Callithrix jacchus: one gene and its partners. The protein of the gene in region 2 purifies or fractionates together with the protein of the main gene of each other region. This does not show direct contact. Links are inferred from orthologs where the notes say so. Each region holds a gene or a part of one and is shown on either strand. Other genes may lie near its edges.

Region 1 (4,335 bases), on a different chromosome or scaffold from region 2:
TATGTATAAAGCATGTCAATATTATCAAACAGATCTTGTAATTTCCATCTTGCCTGCTCTTCTGCTGAGTTCTTGGCTCTGCTGTGCTGCAGATTACACAGGTTGCCAGATAAGTCACCTCCAGTAAGATGTTCTGTTACTGGGACTATTTTTAACCTGAAACCAATGGTACTTGTCTATAATCCACAAAGCTGTCACTTAAATGACTTTTTACATGGCAAAATACACTGAAAATGACAATTCTGTACCCAAGCTGAGGACCACTTTCTAGACACTTACCACATACATCTATTTATCCTCTCCCTTGAGACTCCATTGGCTTCTCCTTCTTTATTCCATTTTCTTCTATTTTTTTCAGAATTCATTTTATCTTACTCTTCTATCTTTGGGTGTTCAAGACATATTTACTGTATTTTCTAATCAGAAGGAGATGGGCTTAACTAAGAAAATACAAAGTTTTTTTTTCCCATAATCTCCTGAAAATATGATCTTAAGGAAAAGTTTCCATCTTGTATTATAGAAAATGAGAATACAAGTTAATCAAGGTAAAAGGGATTATAGAATATTGTCTTCACGTGATTATACTTGATGAAGCAATTGTCCCTTTATGATATTTTAATTAGAACTAAATCTGCTAAAAAGGACATCTAATAGCCTATTTCTTCATATTTCTGATGCATGCATTATTGCTTCTGCTTTTGTTAATGCAACTGAATCTATGAAACACTGCTTTTTCTATGATTTACTCAAGGTAGTACATTTAATAAATCAAATATTTTAAAGGCTACTTTCAGCAAACTATTTCACAAAAGAAATATTCCAAGCACAGTAAAAAATAAATCCAATTGAGCAATGATTGGAATGGTTGGGATCATTTATTTGGGAAATGACTCTTTTATTCAATTTTTACACTTCTGATGTACCTAAAAACAAAATTACACATCATAAATTTAAGCAATTTAAGCAATGTGCTTGATAAAACCTGGAATGTCACCAATAAACAATATGAAAAATTTAAGTTTTAAGACTAACTTCAAACAAGTTCTTCCCAAACACTGAAAAATAACATTGCACTGACTGAGACAAGTATAAAATAAGTCTTTTTCCAAATATAAGCTACGTCTCCTGATGCAATTTTCTGGGTCACTCACTGTAACTTCCTACCTCTACCATAACAGATTCTAACAGAATAGATATATTCCAATTCTGAACTGTACAGAAGGCGAAATATTTATGAAAAGCATTAGCAGCACTTCATAATAAGAACAAACATCAATTACAATTTGAACCCAGACCTGAAAAAAAAAACTGTTGATTAAAAAAATTGTTAAAAACACCTCAAGTTCCTAGGTAACCAAAAAAAAAAAAAAAGCAAGAATATAAAACTCAAGTATGGTATAACAACTATTCCAAAATGGATGTTGTTCTCAGTTTTAGTATAGACTGGAAAGAAAAAAATGAATCATCCATTGGCTCTTTCCAGCTCTCATCCAACATCTGTTCATAGCAACCACAACCAGGTTATTTGCAGCCATGCAGATATTTTCAGGCTAAGAAGAAACATGTCCGTGCTGTTCTGAGAACTGTTACCCAGGCATTTTTTGCTAGACAACATACAGACCATCTAATTTACCTTCCCTATATTCAAAAACAAGGAAACTGAGGCTCAGAGAGATTAAGTACCTGGCCCTCCCAATTCAAGTAATTCACACTAGCACTAAGCAAAGCCTAAAACCAAGTTTTCTCATTTCTACTAATATGGGTCAACTCTGAGGGTCAGAACCACTGACTGTTTTTCTGGGATGGAATGGGCCTTTGGAAATTTGCCAGCTGTGTGATCCTGAGCAAATTCCCTTTCCAAGTCCCCTTTTCTTCATCCACAAAATGTAGAAAGTACCTACTACTCTAACAAGGCTGTGAGGATTATGTCCAGCTTGTAAAGTGCTTAGCACAGTGATTAGGAAATTTTAGGCATTCGAAACAGGTAGCTATGATTTTTACTCCCAATCTGAAAACATGGCTGCTCCTAATCATGGCTGTTTGAGAAGACAACGAACTGAATTCATTAACACAATGGACAGGGTCCCATCCACTAGAGCTTCTCTGGCCTACCTTTCTACAAACAGTAGAAAACCCCACCAAACAACCTATTTCATCCCATCTAAAACGATCATCCATTACACTATTTTAAAAAAAAATCCAATTGCTGCCATGTCTTCTGCCACGTGTTGTATATTTAATATGTGAACTAGAAATTGCAGAGGAATTTCTGGTTCCACCCAAAACATGAAGAACAAACGACGGGAAAACAAGAGTTAGATAAGGTCAAACACCTGAACTGGAACTCAGGACCTTGTTCTCAGCACATTCAGTTATGGGTGGTAGAAAGCAAGATGCTTTAAGCACCATAAAGCAGGAATAATGGCTACCTCAACAAAATATAATTCCCTAGGTTTCTCAACACAATAGAATCCGTTTGCTTTCCCTAGTAAATTCATACGCACGTGGACAATAATTGAGCATCTTTCTTGTAAAACTGAGGATGAAGCTGTGTCTGAGCTGCGATGTACCGTAGGATCATACAAACCTATGAAAACGTCCTATGAAATGGCGAGACAAAATGATGGGGAATGTCACCTCGAAATCAACAGGAGGGAATCATAATGTCATGCCAAAATCGTCTCCGTTGATAAAATCCCGACCCTCCATTTCATGACACTGCACATCCACTTCCCTCTAAGGAAATTAACAGGAATCACCTCAGCAACCAACCTCAGCAATCGACATCTACCAGATCAACCCCTACTCAAATGGCGATAAGCACCGCGGGTCCAAGCCCCTCCCTGTAGCCGCCAAGTCCCGCGCTGACTCCGGACTACCTCACTTCCTTTCCGTTCTCCCTCCCACGCTCGACCCAAGACGTTTCTCCCAAAACTCGCCACTGACAGAAAAAGTACGAACAAGACAGTCTTCCTAAACTTTGTCCGGTAAGTACCAGGATACACATACCCGTCCCTATTACGATTACATCAAACTCCGAGGGGAGAGTATCCGCCATCTTGACGGGAAACGTGTCATGTGACTATTACTTGTGGAAGTGAGATCAAGTTAGGCATTCCCTCGGTAGAAGGCGGAAAGGAAAACAATGCATTCTGGGTGTTGTAGTTCTTGGGTGGAAGGTCCAGGTAGGCGACTACAGTATTAAAACGTTTACACTTAAGTTAAAAGCTCGACTCATTTTCCAGGCTGAGTGCGGTAGCTCATTTAGCCTGGAAATAGAAAAGAGATGTAGATTTTTATTCCGTTAGCCAGGATGAGTGTGGGAGACTTGGATACCGGTTGACAATACTGAGGCAAGAATTGTGAAGACACCACGGAGAGGGGAGTGAAATTGAAAAGAGTTTGCTCTGTGAACAAAGGAGATTTTCATTCCAGCCTAAAAACCTGTTTCCCGCCATCGTATCTGTATTTCATGTTGGCCCTCGAGGCACAGTTTTTCACACCAATACTTTCTAACTATATTCCATATCTTTTTAGTTTCCATGTCTCCTCAATGAAAACCCACGAAAATCCTCTCACCCTAGTTTCGCCAGAATGAAGCTCTCACCGCGTCCGTATTTGTTCTAATTAGTCCAAACACCCGCTTGGGCAATAGATTAGCCTTGCTTTACAGGAGGGAAAAAATATACGAGAGCATAGTTGTCCTGGATAAGCGTTTGTTGAGTCTGAATTTGATTTTCCACGCGAACTAGACAAGTTCATGTAAGATTCTCTTTAGTTTCATTTAGTTTCCAATCTATTAGTTTCCATAAGCTACCGTAGAAATGATTAAGGTAAAATGGCGTTTATATTAAAGTGATTGTATTTGATGAGGGGCTTTAGGTCGTCTATGCCTAACAGCTAACATAGTTCTCATAAGTATCTTAAAGGTTTGTCGCCTCCCACCGCTCCCCTCCATCCTCCCTGCTCCCGATTATTTAAAAACACTCCGCTGTCTGACAACACCAAAGCAAAAGGGAAGTGATGCTGGGAATGAAGGATACTTTTTTGATGACAGAAATTTTTTGTTTAGTTATTTTACAAGAGTTTCAAAATAAATCAAAGATAGAGTGCAATAGTGGGCCTTCCCTAACACCACCTGTCCTCTAAGATGCTAATGGTTCTCCAGACATTGTTTTCTTTCCAGTCTCATTCACCACCCTCATGCTGTTCTTTCAGCACGGAACGATCTTCCCATTCACTAGCTAACAGTTATTCTGAAGATATCGTTGGGCTTCCACCCCCTCATCCTTTCATCTCCGTGTGTGGGCTGTTTCCCTACATGGTGCTAGACTC
Region 2 (3,553 bases):
ATGAGTAATAATCCCACCACACAGAAAACAACTGTTAACATTTCTATGTGTGGTATACTTGAGCAGATGAGGAAACAGTTTTAAGTCTTTCCGCCATTAGGCACACAAACCCAGGTGACTGAAAATATTTGTTGTCGAAATTACCATTAAACATTGTTTAACAGAAGACTTTAAGTAATAATAAATTCTTGGATCTGCTCTAAAAGCTTCTCAGTTATTAATAACATAATTTTTCTCAAAAAAAATGTTAACCCAAGTAGCCTGGCTCTAGAACTTGAACTCTTGAGTCATCTCTCAGGTTCCCTGGATTTGAAACTCAGCTCTGTGTCACTTCTGTCACAGTAACTCTGTGACCTCAAGTAAGCTTTTTCACATCTCTGGGCTTGCTTCCTCATTTATAAGGATTGTAATAATATCTCATTTTATAGGATTGTTGAGAAGTTAAGTACTTAAAGTACTGCCTGGCACAAAGTTGAAGCTTTGAGAGGTTAGCCTTAAAAAAAAAAAAAAGTGATTTTGAGCTCAAATCCTATACCTTTAAATTTCCTGTAAAAGATAGTGACCTATTCTAAAGGATGTTGAAGGTCTAGTAGAGCTTAAAATAATCATAATATGCTATAGGCAAAATTTAAAGTGATTAATAGTAAATTTGCTTTACTGATTTGTACATTTACTTCATAATTGTTTCTTTGCAGGTTTCTTTACCTCCAGAAAGAAGAAGATTGACGCCTTGAATTCTGGAACTTCATTGAAGAGTCTGAAATTAGGGATTTATTTCAAATTTGGACATGGCTAATCGAGGTGCAACAAGACCCAACGGGCCAAATACTGGAAATAAAATATGCCAGTTCAAACTAGTACTTCTGGGAGAGTCTGCTGTTGGCAAATCAAGCCTAGTGCTTCGTTTTGTGAAAGGCCAGTTTCATGAATTTCAAGAGAGTACCATTGGAGGTGAGATATTTTTTTTCCCTGCTTCATTTCATCAAATCATACCTTGACAGAAAATATTTTGATGTTCCAATTGTGTGATTATGAATAGCTAAATAAGTCACAGAGTGAAGAAAAGAGTTATTCAGCTGACCTTAAGCTTTAAAACTTGCCTTTATCTTTGTTGAAACGATGTCTTTTTACATTTGATTGTTTGGTTAATTCCATGTGGTTATATTGTAGCTAAAATATAGTTAAAAACATGAGTAGAATTAGTGTTTCAAGTTATAAGATTTGATCTGGTATCTATTTCTTGCTGATAACTAGAAGCTTCTTCAAATTAATACAGTACATATTTGTGCTCAATTATGTTGGCTTGAAATGAATAGTAAAAAAGGTAACCTTAAATTCTGATCTATATAACTGAACTATTTGAATAATTTATACTTGTCAAATTATTTAAATACTGTTAGATGTACTTTTTTTGTTATTTGAAAGATGGGATCTTGCTGTTGTGTAGACTGGAGTGCAGTGTCAGGATCATACCTCACTGCAGACTGCAGCCTGGAACTCTGGGCTCAGATGATCTTCCTGCCTTAGCCTCCCAAGTAGTTGGGCCTACAAGTGCATGCCATCCTGCCAGGAAAGTTTTTTGTTTTGTTTCGTTTTTTTTAAAGAGTCAGAGTATTGCTGTGTTTCCAGGTTGGTCTTGAACTCCTGGCCTCAAGTGAGCCTCCAGCCTCAACCTCCCAGGTAACTCTGGTTACAGGTGCTCCCTGCTAAGACGTACATGTAAGAATGCTCCTAAGCTGAGGGAAGAGAAAAAGCGATTATCGGAAAGGGACATGACAGGAAAATGGAACGTGGAGAAAAAGATGAAAGAAGGGAAAGAGTAGGCACTGCACAAGGTGGTTATGGCGGGACAGAGATGAGGGGAAGGTAAGATGCAGGGCAAAAAGGGGACAACAAACAGTACAGTATTGTCAAGAGAAGACGTGAAGTGCGAAAATTGAATTTTAGCTCGGCATGGTGCTGCATGCCTGTAGTCCCAGGATTATTTTAGCCTAGGAGTTCAAGTCTAGCCTGGGCAACATAATGAGACCCACATCTCTTAAAAAAATACATTAACTTTGATTAAAGAAACCTGTAATTATTTAACACTGGGACAAGATAGCCTCTTTTGTGCCTCTGTTTTGTCTGTGAAATGATGCTTTTCAATAAGATGATGTGTGGGAAGAACTACACAGTTTGAGATTCACAGTATTTTGCATATATATATATATATATATAAACAATGCTGTTTTCCAAGGTATTTATGTATATATTTTAACCCCATATTGCAAAATTAAAGTCACACTTTTGAAGTACATGAGACTGGTAGATACCAACTGGCATGTGGCAACTTCTTAGAATCTTTAAGAAGCAAAATTTTATACTGTGCATTTAGTGAGTGCTCTTAGGCAAATACATTTGAGAATGTTATTCATAAACTTAGACCCATTCTAGTAAGATAATTTACAGAACTCTACTACCTCCTGGCCTTTGTGTGTCTTGTTACAATGTTGTATTAGAATGTTTTGTTTTTTTCTAATGACTGAGTATCAGAAAGCATCATGGAGCTTTTATTTCGAGTCAGAAGTCTTGGCATTTTAAAAAATGTTAATACGTGATATATTAGATACCCTTTGTGGTTTTTTTTTTTTTTTTTTCTGAAGGCACATCCATATGTGATTTTTTTTTTTTTTAGTAAGACAAAAAATTATTTTTTGTTAAAAGTTTTAGTAAAATGTTAAATATTATTTTACTAAAATATTGTTTTACTAATATTTACTAAAAAAACATTTTAGTAATATAATAAAAACTCTGAAGTACTGTAGTATAGAACTTAATTTCTGCAGAGCTTTGCAAGAACTTAAGACTGGAAATTTTATCTTGTTTTGGATAGTCCACTTCTAAGTTTATTTTATTTTAATGATAGCTCAAGAAGGATGTTTAAAGTAAAAGTACAACCCCATATCCAGTGTATCATAAATAATATCTCTGGTATGTGTGTATCTATGTATAATCTCCATTTAACACCAATTAGAGTGTCTAGATTTCATTAATGAATTTTTCGTAGATTTTAATTTCTATGTATAAAGCTTCCTATTTAAAAACAAAGGGGAATTTGCATCCAAATTTCTATTAATCCTTTTTTTTTTGAGACAGGGTCTCTGTTGCCCAGGCTGGAGTGCAGTGGTGCAGGCTTGGCTCACTACAACCTCCATTTCTCAAATTCAAGCAGTTCTTGTGCCTCAGCCCCCAAGTAGCTGGGACTACAGGCGTGCGCCCCCACTCCTGGCTAATTTTTGTATTTTTAGTAGAGATTGTGTTTAACCATGTTGGCCAGGCTGATCTTGAACTAGGTCTCCTTGGAGATCTGCCTGCCTCGGGCTCTCCAAGTGCTAGGATTACAGGCATGAGCCACTGCCCCAGCCCAAATTTCTGTTAATCCTTTTTGGACACTTTTTCATTGTGCTGATCCCATGTTCATACTATTCAGGAGGTATAACAGTACCATTATGATTACAGCTGCGGACACTGTTCTTTTATGTTCTGTGTTCATAGCTCTTCACTTTTAGGCACT
Region 3 (4,202 bases), on a different chromosome or scaffold from region 2:
CAATCCTGGGATACCCAGACATGGTTGGGCCGGTTCCTGCCATCTGGGGTCCTCCACTCCACAATCAGGGGAGACTCATCAACCATGAGCAGCAAGGTCTCCGTTCTGGAGCCTACCTGGTACAAGGGACAAAGAGAGACTTCAGCCCCAACAGCACCAGGCCCACAATCCCACAGTGCTCTTGACAAAAGCTGCAGGACTCACTAGGAGGGGCCGAGAGAAGGAGACAGTCAGACAGGCCTCATCCCGGCTCACATGTAGGCAGCGCAGTGCATCCTGGGGGTCAGCTACGGGGAAACACAGCATCAGATCTTAAACCCTCTCCCACTCCTATCAAGCCCTAAATACCCAGCCCCTTTCCTCATTGCTCACCTCGGCCTAGGAGCCAACGGTGATAGAACCAGGCACTCTGATCATTGGGGTCAGTGAAGAAGGCATTCTGCACCAGCTCCAGCTCTGTGGGGTTCCGGGAGGCATGGGCTGTGGTTAGGCCAATGGTTGGCTCCTGGCCACTTCAACACCCTACTCTCTCCTTGGAGTACTTCCAACCCCCAGTCTCACTTATATGCTGTCCTTGCACAGGGGCTGCATATGTCAATTTTATCTTCCCCATCAGACACTTGAGCTCTCTGCAGCCAGGGACTGAGTCTTAGGCACTCATGGAGCCAGGCATGAAGTAGGTGCTCAATAAATCCGAGTGACAGGTTCAGGAATAGGGTCAGGCATGGGGGCTGGAAGGGTGGCACTGCAGAGTCCTCCCGAGCACCCCTGACCCTGCTTACCTTTGAGCAGCACATCCTCAGGGAGGCGTCCCTGTGGTTCAGAATCTGGCTGGGGGTGCAGCTGGGGCAAGAGGCAGGAACGGTAATGCCAGGAAGAGTAGTTGGAGAAGTTTCGGGTGATGAGGCTGTCAGTGAAGGCTAGCTCTTCTGCAGGGGGCACTGCTGCCTGTGAGGCCACAAAACGCCGATAGTCCCAGCAGTGAACTGGAGGGGAGAGGTGACAGCGTATATTAGAAGCAGGGCAAGAGGAGCTACCTGGCTGGAACCCCTAGAAACACCTCAGTGCACTTCACAGAGGATGCATTTGACTCCATCATCCCTTTCAGCACCAGCTCAGTGGACCCATCCTGGATATCCATCCCCATTCTGGGCCTTAATGAGGCTCCAGCACCAGAATGTGGGCAGGTGAAGACTGTGGGGACAGAATCTACAGGAACGTACAGTTCCGCTCATCGACCTCCAGGAAGCGGGCACACAGTTCCAGCTCCCGGGCCCAGTTGGGCTCAGGCAGGCGGCCGAGCAGCCAGCTTCGGTGGTGCCAGGTACCATAAGACTTGGGGTTCACCCGTAGGCAGCTCTCCAGGAAGCCCAGTTCTGCCTTCACCAGAGCAGCCAATTCCTCAGGAGACCTGCACCCAAGGGGAAGCAGGGTCAGGGCTTTCCTACACTCAACCTCAGCTCACCCCTCACTTTCTGTACCCAGCCCCCTACTGTCCTCCATCTATGCCACTGGCTGCCACATTTCTCCTCCACCCCTGGACCCAGGCACTGCAGGTGCAGGGCCAGGGCAGTCTTCTAAGACCCTGAACCCCTACGCACTTCTGAGTCTCCAGCTGCTGGAGCACTTCTCGTCGGCAGTTCCAGAGGGTGGCAAAATCAGGGTTGGCTCCCAGAATCTGGCTTGTCAGTTCCAGCACTGACTCATCCAGCTCACCAGCCTGGCGCTGAGAAGACAGGTAGCAGGGTCAGAGATCATACCATTTGCCCACTACAGGACTAAATAACATAAATATAGAACCACCCAATATTCTGTGAATCCCACACTATACAACAGGTACTATGAACCATGCTTTATGGCTTTACAAGTATTCTCTCATTTAATTTTCACAACAGCCTTATGCAGTAGGTACAATTATTAGCTCCATTTTACAGAGGAGCAAACTGAGGCCCAGCGATTCAGCAACTTGTCCAAGGTCATATAGTTATAAGTGAGAGAACCCAGAATTGGATCCAGGCAGTCTGACTCTAGGGACCAGCTCTTGACCTGTGTACTATACTGAGGTAGCCTCCTGGGGTTGGGGCTACCTCTGAGGGCCCCACCTTCTGGAATACGGCTTGGGTGGCTGACTGGTACAGCTTCAGCTTCTGCTCTCGCTCTAGCCTTTTGGCCTCCGCCTGCTCTTCTGACGTCTTCACCTTCAGGCGTCCGTGCTACAAGGATGAACGGGTTGGAAGAGTGCAGTTTGCCTTGCAGGAGCTGACCTGCAAAAACTCCACACTGTGGAGCCCCAGGTTCATGCGGGGCAACCAAGGCACAGCCACTCGGGGTGAGGGCACGGGCCTGCGGAGGTGAAGGGCGGGGCTCAGGGTTCTCACCATGGTGCCGGCTCAGGGTTCAAGACAGGGTAAGGGTCCAGTAGCAGCCCTTGGAAGTCTGAGGAGAGAGGTGTCAATCACGTAGCCCCGCCCCTACTAGCTCCGCCCTCAGCTGTGTCCCGGAAGCAGCAAGCGTGCCTGGGCAGAGACCCCGAGGGTGTAAAGAGGTCCTGGGACAGGTGTTGCACATTCAGGAAGAGGCGAATACCCGGACTAGGACTTCCATCCGTGTGGCCCTTCCCATAGCTGGATTCGCCACGGCCAAAGCCCCAGCCGGGACACCTAGGCGATGGAGACCACTCTGCGCCCCAAAGGTTGCCGCTACCCGCCCATCCCACGGCTCCCGGGCACCCCCGCCCCCCGCGGGCGGACCCACCTGCGCTGGGAGGAGGCGCGGGGGACGCAGAGCTGCGGCGCCCGCTACAGAGCCCAGGAGCTGGCTAGAGCGGCGCCACGTCCCGGCTCACCGAAGCGCAGCGCCCTCTGCAGGCTTGGGGAAGGGCCTGCGGCGGAGGAGGCGGCTCGGAGGCGCGTGCGCGGGGGCTCTGCGCTCGGTGTCAGGACACGCTTGTACCTATTAGCCACCTGGTGTGTACGAGTGCGCTCGTGCGACTGTAGCGTGCATGTGAAATGGGGGCGGACCATGCTGGTTGGTAACTCAAAGTGCAGTGTAGTTAGTGGAAAAGGTTTTCCAATGGCTGGAAACCCACACCTTCACTACTCCACTGACCTTACCCTGGCCACACCGACAACCTTCTAGAAGTTAAATCTAACAGGTGGAGTTGAACTCCCTGTCATTTTCTCTTACCTCTGAAGCATTTGACCCTACCCACTTCTTTACACTTGGCACTCCCATTCTGGCTTCTCATCCCGCACGTCTGCCTCTCTCTTCTCATCTGTTCACCTGCTCCCCTAAATGTGGTGATCTCCAGGGCCCTTTCCTCACCCCTTTTCCACTGCATACACTGTTACTGGGAGAATGTTTAAATCTAAGTCTTCAACTGCTTAGAGTTGGAGTTCTGCAGAGCTCTCTCTTTTGGCCCACAAATCTGGCATCACACTTTCTCTGGGTGACATCATCCACACTCATTGTTTTAATTACTACCTATAAGTTGATGACACCCAAAATTATATCTCCAGCCCAGATGTCTTGGAAGCTTAAATAACAATAAATAATATACATGCACATACATATTCAAACACCTATTGCATTTCACCTGAGTGTTCCAGAGACACCTCAAACTCCAAAAGCCAAAAGGTATAAATTGTCTCTCATCCATCCTGTCTCAACATTGGCCTTTATGTTTTCTATTGTAGCGAATGGCACTATTTCCTCCCCACTTCTTAAACTCGCTTAAATACTCTCTATTTCCACTGCCTTTAAGAGTTCAAACTTCAAATTTCTTTTCCAGATTGTTGAAGGTCTTTTCAGTGTCTTCCACTGCGTCCCTTGTGTTATCAGTACCTCCTCTGTGCTGCTGAATCAGTCTTTCTAAAATGCAGATTTGATGTTATATCTCTGCCTAAAAGCCCTGAGTGGCTCCTTTTCAGGACAGAATTGTAATCTCTCAGCCTAGCACATCAGACCTTTTGGCGTTTGGGCTCTGCCTACTCTCTGGTCCTACGTCCTGCTGACCCTGCTAAAAACTCTTCATGACAGCCTACAGAAATACATGCAGTTCCCTAAATGTTAGCCTCTTCCCTCTTCTTCACTCTCCTTTCTCTGTGCCCCTCCTTTGCCACAGTAACTCCTGTTTATCTCTAAGATTTAACTTTTTGAACTCCACAGAACAAAGAAAAAATATTTAACTCAAGTGGCACCTC

What was found.
Region 1: the proteins of RAB5A (region 2) and CHM purify together in Homo sapiens (affinity purification with mass spectrometry; 3 studies listed by BioGRID and IntAct, counting the BioPlex papers as one, with this or other methods). This does not show direct contact. The link is inferred for Callithrix jacchus from reciprocal best matches to the Homo sapiens genes RAB5A and CHM.
Region 3: the proteins of RAB5A (region 2) and RABGGTA purify together in Homo sapiens (affinity purification with mass spectrometry; 3 studies listed by BioGRID and IntAct, counting the BioPlex papers as one, with this or other methods). This does not show direct contact. The link is inferred for Callithrix jacchus from reciprocal best matches to the Homo sapiens genes RAB5A and RABGGTA.

Annotation. Positions count from the first base shown.
Region 1 is NC_133524.1:83,479,744-83,484,078, forward strand, and holds the start of CHM (rab proteins geranylgeranyltransferase component A 1), read right to left. Parts: upstream 2,834-4,335; 5' UTR 2,788-2,833; coding exon 2,773-2,787; exon of another isoform or gene 2,588-2,772; intron 1-2,587. UniProt on the Homo sapiens protein: Substrate-binding subunit of the Rab geranylgeranyltransferase (GGTase) complex.
Region 2 is NC_133518.1:58,465,286-58,468,838, forward strand, and holds part of RAB5A (ras-related protein Rab-5A), read left to right. Parts: intron 1-695; 5' UTR 696-788; coding exon 789-951; intron 952-3,553. UniProt on the Homo sapiens protein: The small GTPases Rab are key regulators of intracellular membrane trafficking, from the formation of transport vesicles to their fusion with membranes.
Region 3 is NC_133509.1:58,570,494-58,574,695, forward strand, and holds the start of RABGGTA (geranylgeranyl transferase type-2 subunit alpha), read right to left. Parts: upstream 2,810-4,202; 5' UTR 2,382-2,809; coding exon 2,379-2,381; intron 2,214-2,378; coding exon 2,103-2,213; intron 1,727-2,102; coding exon 1,602-1,726; intron 1,412-1,601; coding exon 1,224-1,411; intron 987-1,223; coding exon 783-986; intron 457-782; coding exon 373-456; intron 288-372; coding exon 205-287; intron 117-204; coding exon 15-116; intron 1-14. UniProt on the Homo sapiens protein: Catalyzes the transfer of a geranylgeranyl moiety from geranylgeranyl diphosphate to both cysteines of Rab proteins with the C-terminal sequence -XXCC, -XCXC and -CCXX, such as RAB1A, RAB3A, RAB5A and RAB7A.